2 linked regions of the Neurospora crassa OR74A genome follow. Each later gene encodes a partner of the first gene's protein in a complex. Links are inferred from orthologs where the notes say so. Each region holds a gene or a part of one and is shown on either strand. Other genes may lie near its edges. The genes, in order: NCU01580 and NCU06646.

Region 1 (4,266 bases):
GCAGTAGAGCAAGGCCAAGGTCAGGTTCGCGAGAGAGGTTGTTGGGGGTAATTGAGAGTGCGAGGAGTAAGTCCGGAGTTAACGTACCGGAAAGTCAATTGGATGAGGATGAAAATGAGGAGAATGAGGAAGAAGAGAGTGGTGCCAAGATCGGCAGGATAGGAGGAGGAGGAGGAGGAAGAGGACGCGGAACAGGATCAGCGAAAGCAAGGACAAACACAAGAACCGCCCGTGTCTCCAGACCAGGAAAACGAAAGGCTGCAAAGGACGTACCATCATCAGACGATGATGGAGACGACGACAACGACCACGCAAAATTCGAAAAGATGGATGTCGACGAGCCGGAACCTGAGCCAGAATCAGAGCCGGAACCATCATCAAAGACGACCACCATGGGACAATCATCTTCTAGCAAAACCCTCGATCACGAGGACGTCACTGATAACGACGAGGACGAAGATGAGGTCCTCAATAAGACATCTGACCGCAACACCCCAGACCGCGACGACGATGACGAAACAGCCAGTGAGCCCGATGAGGAGGATGATGGGACTGTAGAAGCAGGGGACAAGGATCTTGATGTGCCGCCGCCTCCTTCACCGCCGCCTGCTAGACGACAACGCACGGCTGCGGCATCCTCGACAGCGACGACAACCCCTCAGAAAAAGACGACGGCTTCTGTTGTAGGAAAGGGAAAGGGAAAGGAGACGCTAACGCCCATTTCCCATACTAAGAGGGCCGGGGCGACGGCTACGAGAGCGTCTCAGCCTGCTGCTGTAGTAGATGAGGGGAGTGAGACTGAGTCTGATGATGAGTTATGAATGGACGGTGGACGTTGAACGCGAGTCGGGGGAGCATGATGTAACGATGGATAATGACTAGACATGTCCCCAATAACAGGTATCGATGGCTGAATCCTATAGTGGGAATCCATGTCCAGTAAAGTGATATTCGCAATAAAAGCTGTTTTATGGGTATTAGCACTGCATGTCAGACTCTATGTGTATATGTAGTTTTCCAAGCCTTTTGTCCGCTTTCGGTAGACATCCCACGAGCAATCTTGTGGGCTTTACCACTCCCTAGTCTCTAATCAGCCTCTTGACTGCCTGGTTCCCCGGCCCAGGACAAAAGAATCATCCACCATCAGTTACCTCTTCACTCTATTCCATACCTCGCTGAAGACTTATTTCAGCATCGTCCCTTTCCCATTCGCCTGCCCCCCTCCAGGAGGAGCAGCAGCCTTTGAAGGCAGCACAGGTAACTTCCTCCCGTAATTCCCCAACGCTAACTTGGTGCCGCATGTCAAACACTCCCCACCCTCGGGCACCTCGCAAAAAATGCTCAAGCAGATACTGCACACAAACCCCGTATCAATCACGTTCCGATGACAGAAACACGCCGCCCGGAAATCCACCGAGTCCGCACTAGGGGTGACCAACAGATCCGCCACGCTAGCATTACTCCCCAGAAACTTCTGGCCTCCATGCTTGGCCCCTCCCTTGGCCGCGGCGCCAAGGGCCTTCTCGCTCGCCTTGTCCTCTTTCCCCTTATGTCCCCCATGCTGCTGCTGAGACCGCTGGTTCCCTGCCGCCGCCAACCCCTGTGGCGCGCTCCCGCTTCCAAACCCAAACATCAAGTACTGCAATAGTCCCCTCGGCTCCTGCGCCCGTATAAACGTGCCGCGCGTAATATAGCTCGCCTGCTGCAAGAACGTTGCACTACCCCGCAGCGCCAGCGTGTCGATGGCAATGCGCGCGTGCGCCGCCGCGAACACAGCATTCATGGTAGGGATGTACTGCGAGGGGGAGCTGTCGCTTACGCTGACCACCAGGATGCGGGCGTGCAGGCCTGCCAGGCCGCCACCGCCGATGCCAGGGAGGGAGGCTGCGTTGCCGCCGCCTGGGCCGGCGCCGGAGGTTGTGGAGACGGAGGACTTGCCGCCTGCGGAGGAGGGGGTTGGGCCGGTGGCGGAGTTGGAGGGGGCGAAGAGGAGGGCGGTTTTGTTGATGTGCGCGAGGGCGAGGGTCAAGGCGCCGGAAATCTGGGTGGTGGTTGTAGAGGTGATGTCCTCGGTTGTGGTGTCGGTTATGAGAGATCGCAGGGAGGAGAGGAGGGAGCGCTCGATTTGGGCGAAGAGGGGGTATTTGTTTGCGGGCGGTGGAGATTGTTGTTTACTTGTGAAGGAGGCGTCGCGCATTTCGATGTCTTCGTTTGGATTTTGCGGGTGTCGGCCGGGGTTCTGGTCGGGTGCTGTTGGGTAGAGCCATACTGCCCGGTTCGTGTGTGATGCTATGAGAGCTACTTGGTTGGAGTTATTGAAGGCTAAGTGGGAGTTGACAAATATTAGAATGTTGGCGAGCGCTTTCGTGAGTGGGAGGACATCGTTCAGGGCGGCCCAGGCGCGTGGGTTGGTGTCGATGATTATGGTATAAAGGGAGGGGATATCATCGGTGTTGTAGATTTCGTAGTGTTCGGAGGCGTCGACGGCGTCCTGGACCGTCATCTTGACGATGATCTGGCAGGGACAGCCTCAACTCGCTTCAAGGTTGTGTGTGTTGTAGAGCTATATCGTGGATCGAAGCCAGTTGGTGTACATGACGTAGGCCTTTTGTCGCCGCGATACTCAGTGCGCCGGTGCTCGTAGGGAGCTTGTCTGGATGCTGGATCGAGAGATGGCAGGATAGCTAAGCGGGCGCTCTGTTGTGTGATATTCGTTATAGTTGTTGTCTGGATTGGTTATGTCTGCTGAATAGGATTGACGCGCCCAAGAAGACCTTCTCGTCGAGAACACTGCAGATGCGATAACGTAACGGAGAAATGCGATAACGATTTCGGGGTTGCAAGCGAAACGCGATCCAAGTGAAGGCCAAAGGATCCTGGTCCAAGTGCACACGCTACCACGTGATACCCGATAAGGCAGATTGCCGGCATTTTCCTTAGTGGTCAAAAGATATGCAGTTAGAGCACTAACATGCAGTTAAACATACAGATGTAGTCCAGTTCTCGCTTTCCTATTGGTCAAGATATCCTAGCTCCTCTATGTACAATGATATCACCTTCATCCGAACATGTCCTTCATCTCTCATCTTATTCTTCTCTTCCTGCTGTGTCCGATTCTAGTTCAACGACCCCAGCATTACCACCAAAACAGCCGGGTGATGAACACGCAAGCGTGCATAACTTTTGACACCAACAGCGAGGTCATCTTTTTCCTTTGATCCATCCACACCATCACATGTTCCCTTTTCGGTTTATTCACATATCGTACGAGGATCTCCTTTAGAAGGATGGCGCAAGACTGTCAACCGAGAGTGGCTTAAAGTCACCGGCTGTGCAATTCAAGGTGTCCTTGGTCTGTAGTCGGGCTCTTATTGGCTTAGGGGTTACCCCGGTGACGACAGCTTTACGTTGGAAGCCTATGGCCAAGACTATCATCGATAGGTATTGTGAGGTTTTGAGGAAGAGAAGTACAAGTATCTAAGGAAGGGGCAGCCAGGTAGGTAAGGAATAGACAAAACTGAAGCTCAATTTAAGACATTGTTCTTTCCATGCTCTCGCAATATGTAACTGCCTTGATTACTCCCGATTATCTACCTCTAGCACTGTAACCACCACCGAATATTCCCCTATGGTAAGTTGTTCAAGTTCCCGATCTTATAACACCCTTCACTCATACATAGTAGACACAGGAATCTTTCAAGGCCGGCGACATTATAACCCCGGTAGCTCTTCCAGATCAAAGAACAGAAAAGCGAACTTGTCTTCCGAGACAATAATTTACCTTCCAGAACGACGGCAACTTAGTTCTTCATGAATATGCCGAGCCCAGGTGGAACTCATGCGGTCGTCTCTCTATGGACAAAGTGGACGCTGGCTTGTTTCGACCAGTAACGGCAATATGACAAACAGTCTTCCCGGTGGTCATCTCGAGCAAGATGCCGACGCACCGGAGGAAACTATAAATCAATAGTCCAACATGACGGTGCCGCGGTGCCGAAGCTCGATGGAGTCACCCCTGGACCGGCGTTAATGGAGGCTCGGCACAAACATACGAACCCTGTGATGTGAAGTCTCTGAACCCTACTGCTTTTCCTAGAAACAATAGTTCGACAACCGCGCATCCACCTATATCCGCGCGGTCGATCTCAGTTACCGCGCCGACCACGTCCGTGGTGGATCCCCGAGGAATCCTGTCTTTCCCCGGTCAGCGAGTTGCACTCATCTACATCACGGACGACAGCCAGGGGTCGGCGCACCGGGGGGGAT
Region 2 (3,103 bases), on another chromosome or scaffold:
ACGGCGGGTTTGGACATCCACGCGGCCAGCTCGAACAACCAGCTGCAGTCGAGCGGCGCCCTCGACGTCGGGCGCAAGGCGGCCCAGTTGAGAAGATACATTACTGAATTTCAGGATAGCATTTCGGCTATTGAATTGTGCGAGAAACGTATGTATTGACTGTGCCGACTTGTCACTCTTCGTTACCCAGGGTGATATATATACGTCAAGCCAATGAACCAGTGCATGCGAATCTTGCTAACCTACAGAAACTCCCTGAAGCCGTCATCGTCGTCCTCCACGCCATCTCCCTCGGCCTCGCCATCGACATCGCCTGCGCCGCCGACATTCGGCTCTGCACGCGTGACGTTCGGCTGGCCGTCAAGGAGGTCGACATCGGCCTGGCCGCCGACATTGGCACGCTGAGCCGGCTGCCCAAGGCCGTCGGCAACTTCTCGTGGGTGAAGGAGGTATGCATGTCGGCAAGAGAGTTTGGCGCGACCGAGGCGCAACAGGTCGGCTTCGTCAGCCAAGTTCTCGACAGCAAGGTGGCTGCCCTGGATCAGGCGATCAAGCTGGCGGGCTTGATTGCTGGGAAGAGCCCGATTGCTGTACAGGGAACTAAGGAGTTGTTGAACCACGCAAGGGACCATTCGGTTTCTGAAAGTACGTTTCCTTTCTTGGTTTCTCTTCCTCCTCGTTGCTCGTTATCGTGAAGGAAAGGCTAAACTGATAATTTTGACACAGGCTTACGGTATACCACCGTCTGGAACTCGGCTGCTTTGCAATCAAGAGATATGATGGACGCGTTATCGGCTAGTGTGCAGAAGAAGAAGCCCGTCTTTTCAAAGCTTTAAAGAGGATCAAGTAGTCCATCGCAGGCTGGTAACTGCTACGCAGTGTTGAAGGTGTATAAATAAATGCATGTAATTCGGGGGGGTTCAGCGACTTGAAGTCACTACGTATGCGTCTCCTATTTACTAGGCAACTCCTAGTCACTATCTGCCAGCGGTTCCTCGGGCCTGTATGTTTCCTTCAGGCGCTGTTGTAGGTAGGAAAGTGTCAGCCAGAGGAAGGTGATATAATCGGACATGATATCTAGTTCACGATGCGGGCCAAACGGTCACACTGGACAAAGCAAAGGGGAAGCATATGACTTACGTCCTCGAGTTTCTGTTTGAGCAGTTGCACCATGTTTTCCTTAACAACCAGGGTCTGCTCATCAAGATCTTCGATGATGATATCGTTGTTAACACTATCCAAGTGAACGATGATGGACTTGATGGCTGGTTCGCACTGGATGAGTACACCTGAGCCAGGGACCAGTGTTAGCAGGGTGAGTATTTGTTTTGCGTTAGAGTCGTGCTGTGCTGTTGCTTATGAATGAGTCTTGACTAGACAAGCCCATGTACACGTCATTTATATGGTATTTCATGGGAATCCATACTGACCTCTGATTGCTCTCGGCATCTTGAATAGCTGTAGTTTCTGGCGGGATGGCAAAATGTCCTGTGATTTTTTTATGTCGCCGTAGCCCTCATCAAGTTGGCCTTTTGGGTATATGCTCTGAGAACAATGTCGTATGCGACGTGGTTTGGAATGTATCGGGCTGTGCTGGTTGTTGGTCGGGATATGGTTGGATCGTTAGATGGTTGGCGTGGAAGAAATGGGTTTGTGTTGCTGTATGGTAACTCAAATACAGCGTTTGAGCGTACAATTTGTTGGCAGCGCCTTCTCTGTAACGACGCGAGCAACCTGGCATGAAGTGACAGAGAAGCAGCGGCAGACACGGGTACCTACGTACGCTTGCAGAATACGGAACATTACGTAGGTACATACGTTCGGGTTCAGGTCAGAAAACTTGCCTTGCGATTACATACCCGCAATTATACTTACTGAACCTTGAATCCAGGTGCTGTCCCTCCAGATCAGATGAATAGATGATGAGGGCATCATGACCTTCACTTCAACCTCAATTGCAAGAACAGTGTGTATAGATGATTCTCACATTCCCTTACCAACAAGCTTCAACAAATAATTCGTCCATGAGTGGCCGGCTGGTCTGGATGATCACATTGGATCTTACTTAATGGAAACCCCGAATGTGATCAAAGCAGTCACAGGCAAGGGGGGACAATGGCGTCTCCAAAAAAACGAATCCTGTAACCACTTTCCCACTCTGTGTGGCCGTTTCGGGCCCTGGACGCTGCCAGGGATCGCTGGGCGGGAAGGCTTAACCGCTTGCAGTAAACCACCCCACCTTTTCGCTTGAGAGTGCCAGCGTGGGAGCGGAGATCGAATCTCAAAACTCGTGCCAATCGCAAGCTCAGATTAGTGATAGTATGGCTCGGATATTGGGTGCGGGTACTGAGTGGTGCCTAGACTGAGAGTTGGGAGTATTTCACGAGGATCCAGGGCAGGGAGCTGCGATGGAGACCAAGAAATATCTTTTCTGTCCAGGGAGTCCCAAAACCCTCTTGTTTGCTCCTGGATTGCCTTGCGGCGCAGGGACCGAGGTAGTATGTCGTTGGCTGACAATGATGAAATAGGTGCAGCAAACCAACGTACCCTACCCGTTCAAAACATGCCATGTCCAGTCTTTTATCCGTCTTGAGAATGAAAAAGAAAAAAGGAAAGGAAAGTAAGAAAAAGAAAAGAAAAACAAACGTCGATATGACGAGGGCGGATAGAGGTGACTAGGTACGACTTGCCGATGGCGGTTTCAGATTCTGTGCATCGGGAGCTCGATAACCGGTAGCGCCTTGTTACACCAAACTGAAATGTGACAAAAGTGAAAGACCCGATGAACTGTCGAAGATGTGATCGCAAACGAAGCCCGCATTCTTGAACATGGCGGTGCTTCCTTCCGTTCTGAAGACGACCTTCTGGAAGCGCGAGAAGAAGACCAGGGCCAAGACATGCCTCATTACTGCACTTGCCGTTGCCGTACAAGTTCGTTGTGTCGTCTGGCTGCGGTCAATCCTACGGTGTAGTGACCCGCGCTGCAGTCAGAATGCCCGCACCGCACCCAGATAATAAGGTTGGGCAGTTGGTGAAATTACCTCCATCGACTGCAACCTCAGGTGCTACCCTGCATTGCAGATCACAGTATCCCCCGGCTTCA

Evidence for each region.
Region 2: NCU01580 (region 1) and NCU06646 share a complex: the UniProt entries of both Saccharomyces cerevisiae proteins name them as parts of the 7-subunit TFIIH core complex. The link is inferred for Neurospora crassa OR74A from reciprocal best matches to the Saccharomyces cerevisiae genes TFB4 and TFB5.

Annotation. Positions count from the first base shown.
Region 1 is NC_026502.1:3,029,672-3,033,937, forward strand, and holds NCU01580 (transcription factor TFIIH subunit Tfb4), read right to left. Parts: upstream 2,823-4,266; 5' UTR 2,504-2,822; coding exon 1,184-2,503; 3' UTR 822-1,183; downstream 1-821. Other genes in the region: NCU01581 (hypothetical protein), read left to right, coding at 1-821. UniProt on the Saccharomyces cerevisiae protein: Component of the general transcription and DNA repair factor IIH (TFIIH) core complex, which is involved in general and transcription-coupled nucleotide excision repair (NER) of damaged DNA and, when complexed to TFIIK, in RNA transcription by RNA polymerase II.
Region 2 is NC_026505.1:4,109,342-4,112,444, reverse strand, and holds NCU06646 (RNA polymerase II transcription factor B subunit 5), read right to left. Parts: upstream 1,675-3,103; 5' UTR 1,450-1,674; coding exon 1,431-1,449; intron 1,290-1,430; coding exon 1,141-1,289; exon of another isoform or gene 1,022-1,140; coding exon 971-1,021; 3' UTR 837-970; coding exon of another isoform or gene 727-836; 3' UTR 646-726; downstream 1-645. Other genes in the region: NCU06647 (enoyl-CoA hydratase/isomerase), read left to right, coding at 1-148, 262-645, 727-836. UniProt on the Saccharomyces cerevisiae protein: Component of the general transcription and DNA repair factor IIH (TFIIH) core complex, which is involved in general and transcription-coupled nucleotide excision repair (NER) of damaged DNA and, when complexed to TFIIK, in RNA transcription by RNA polymerase II.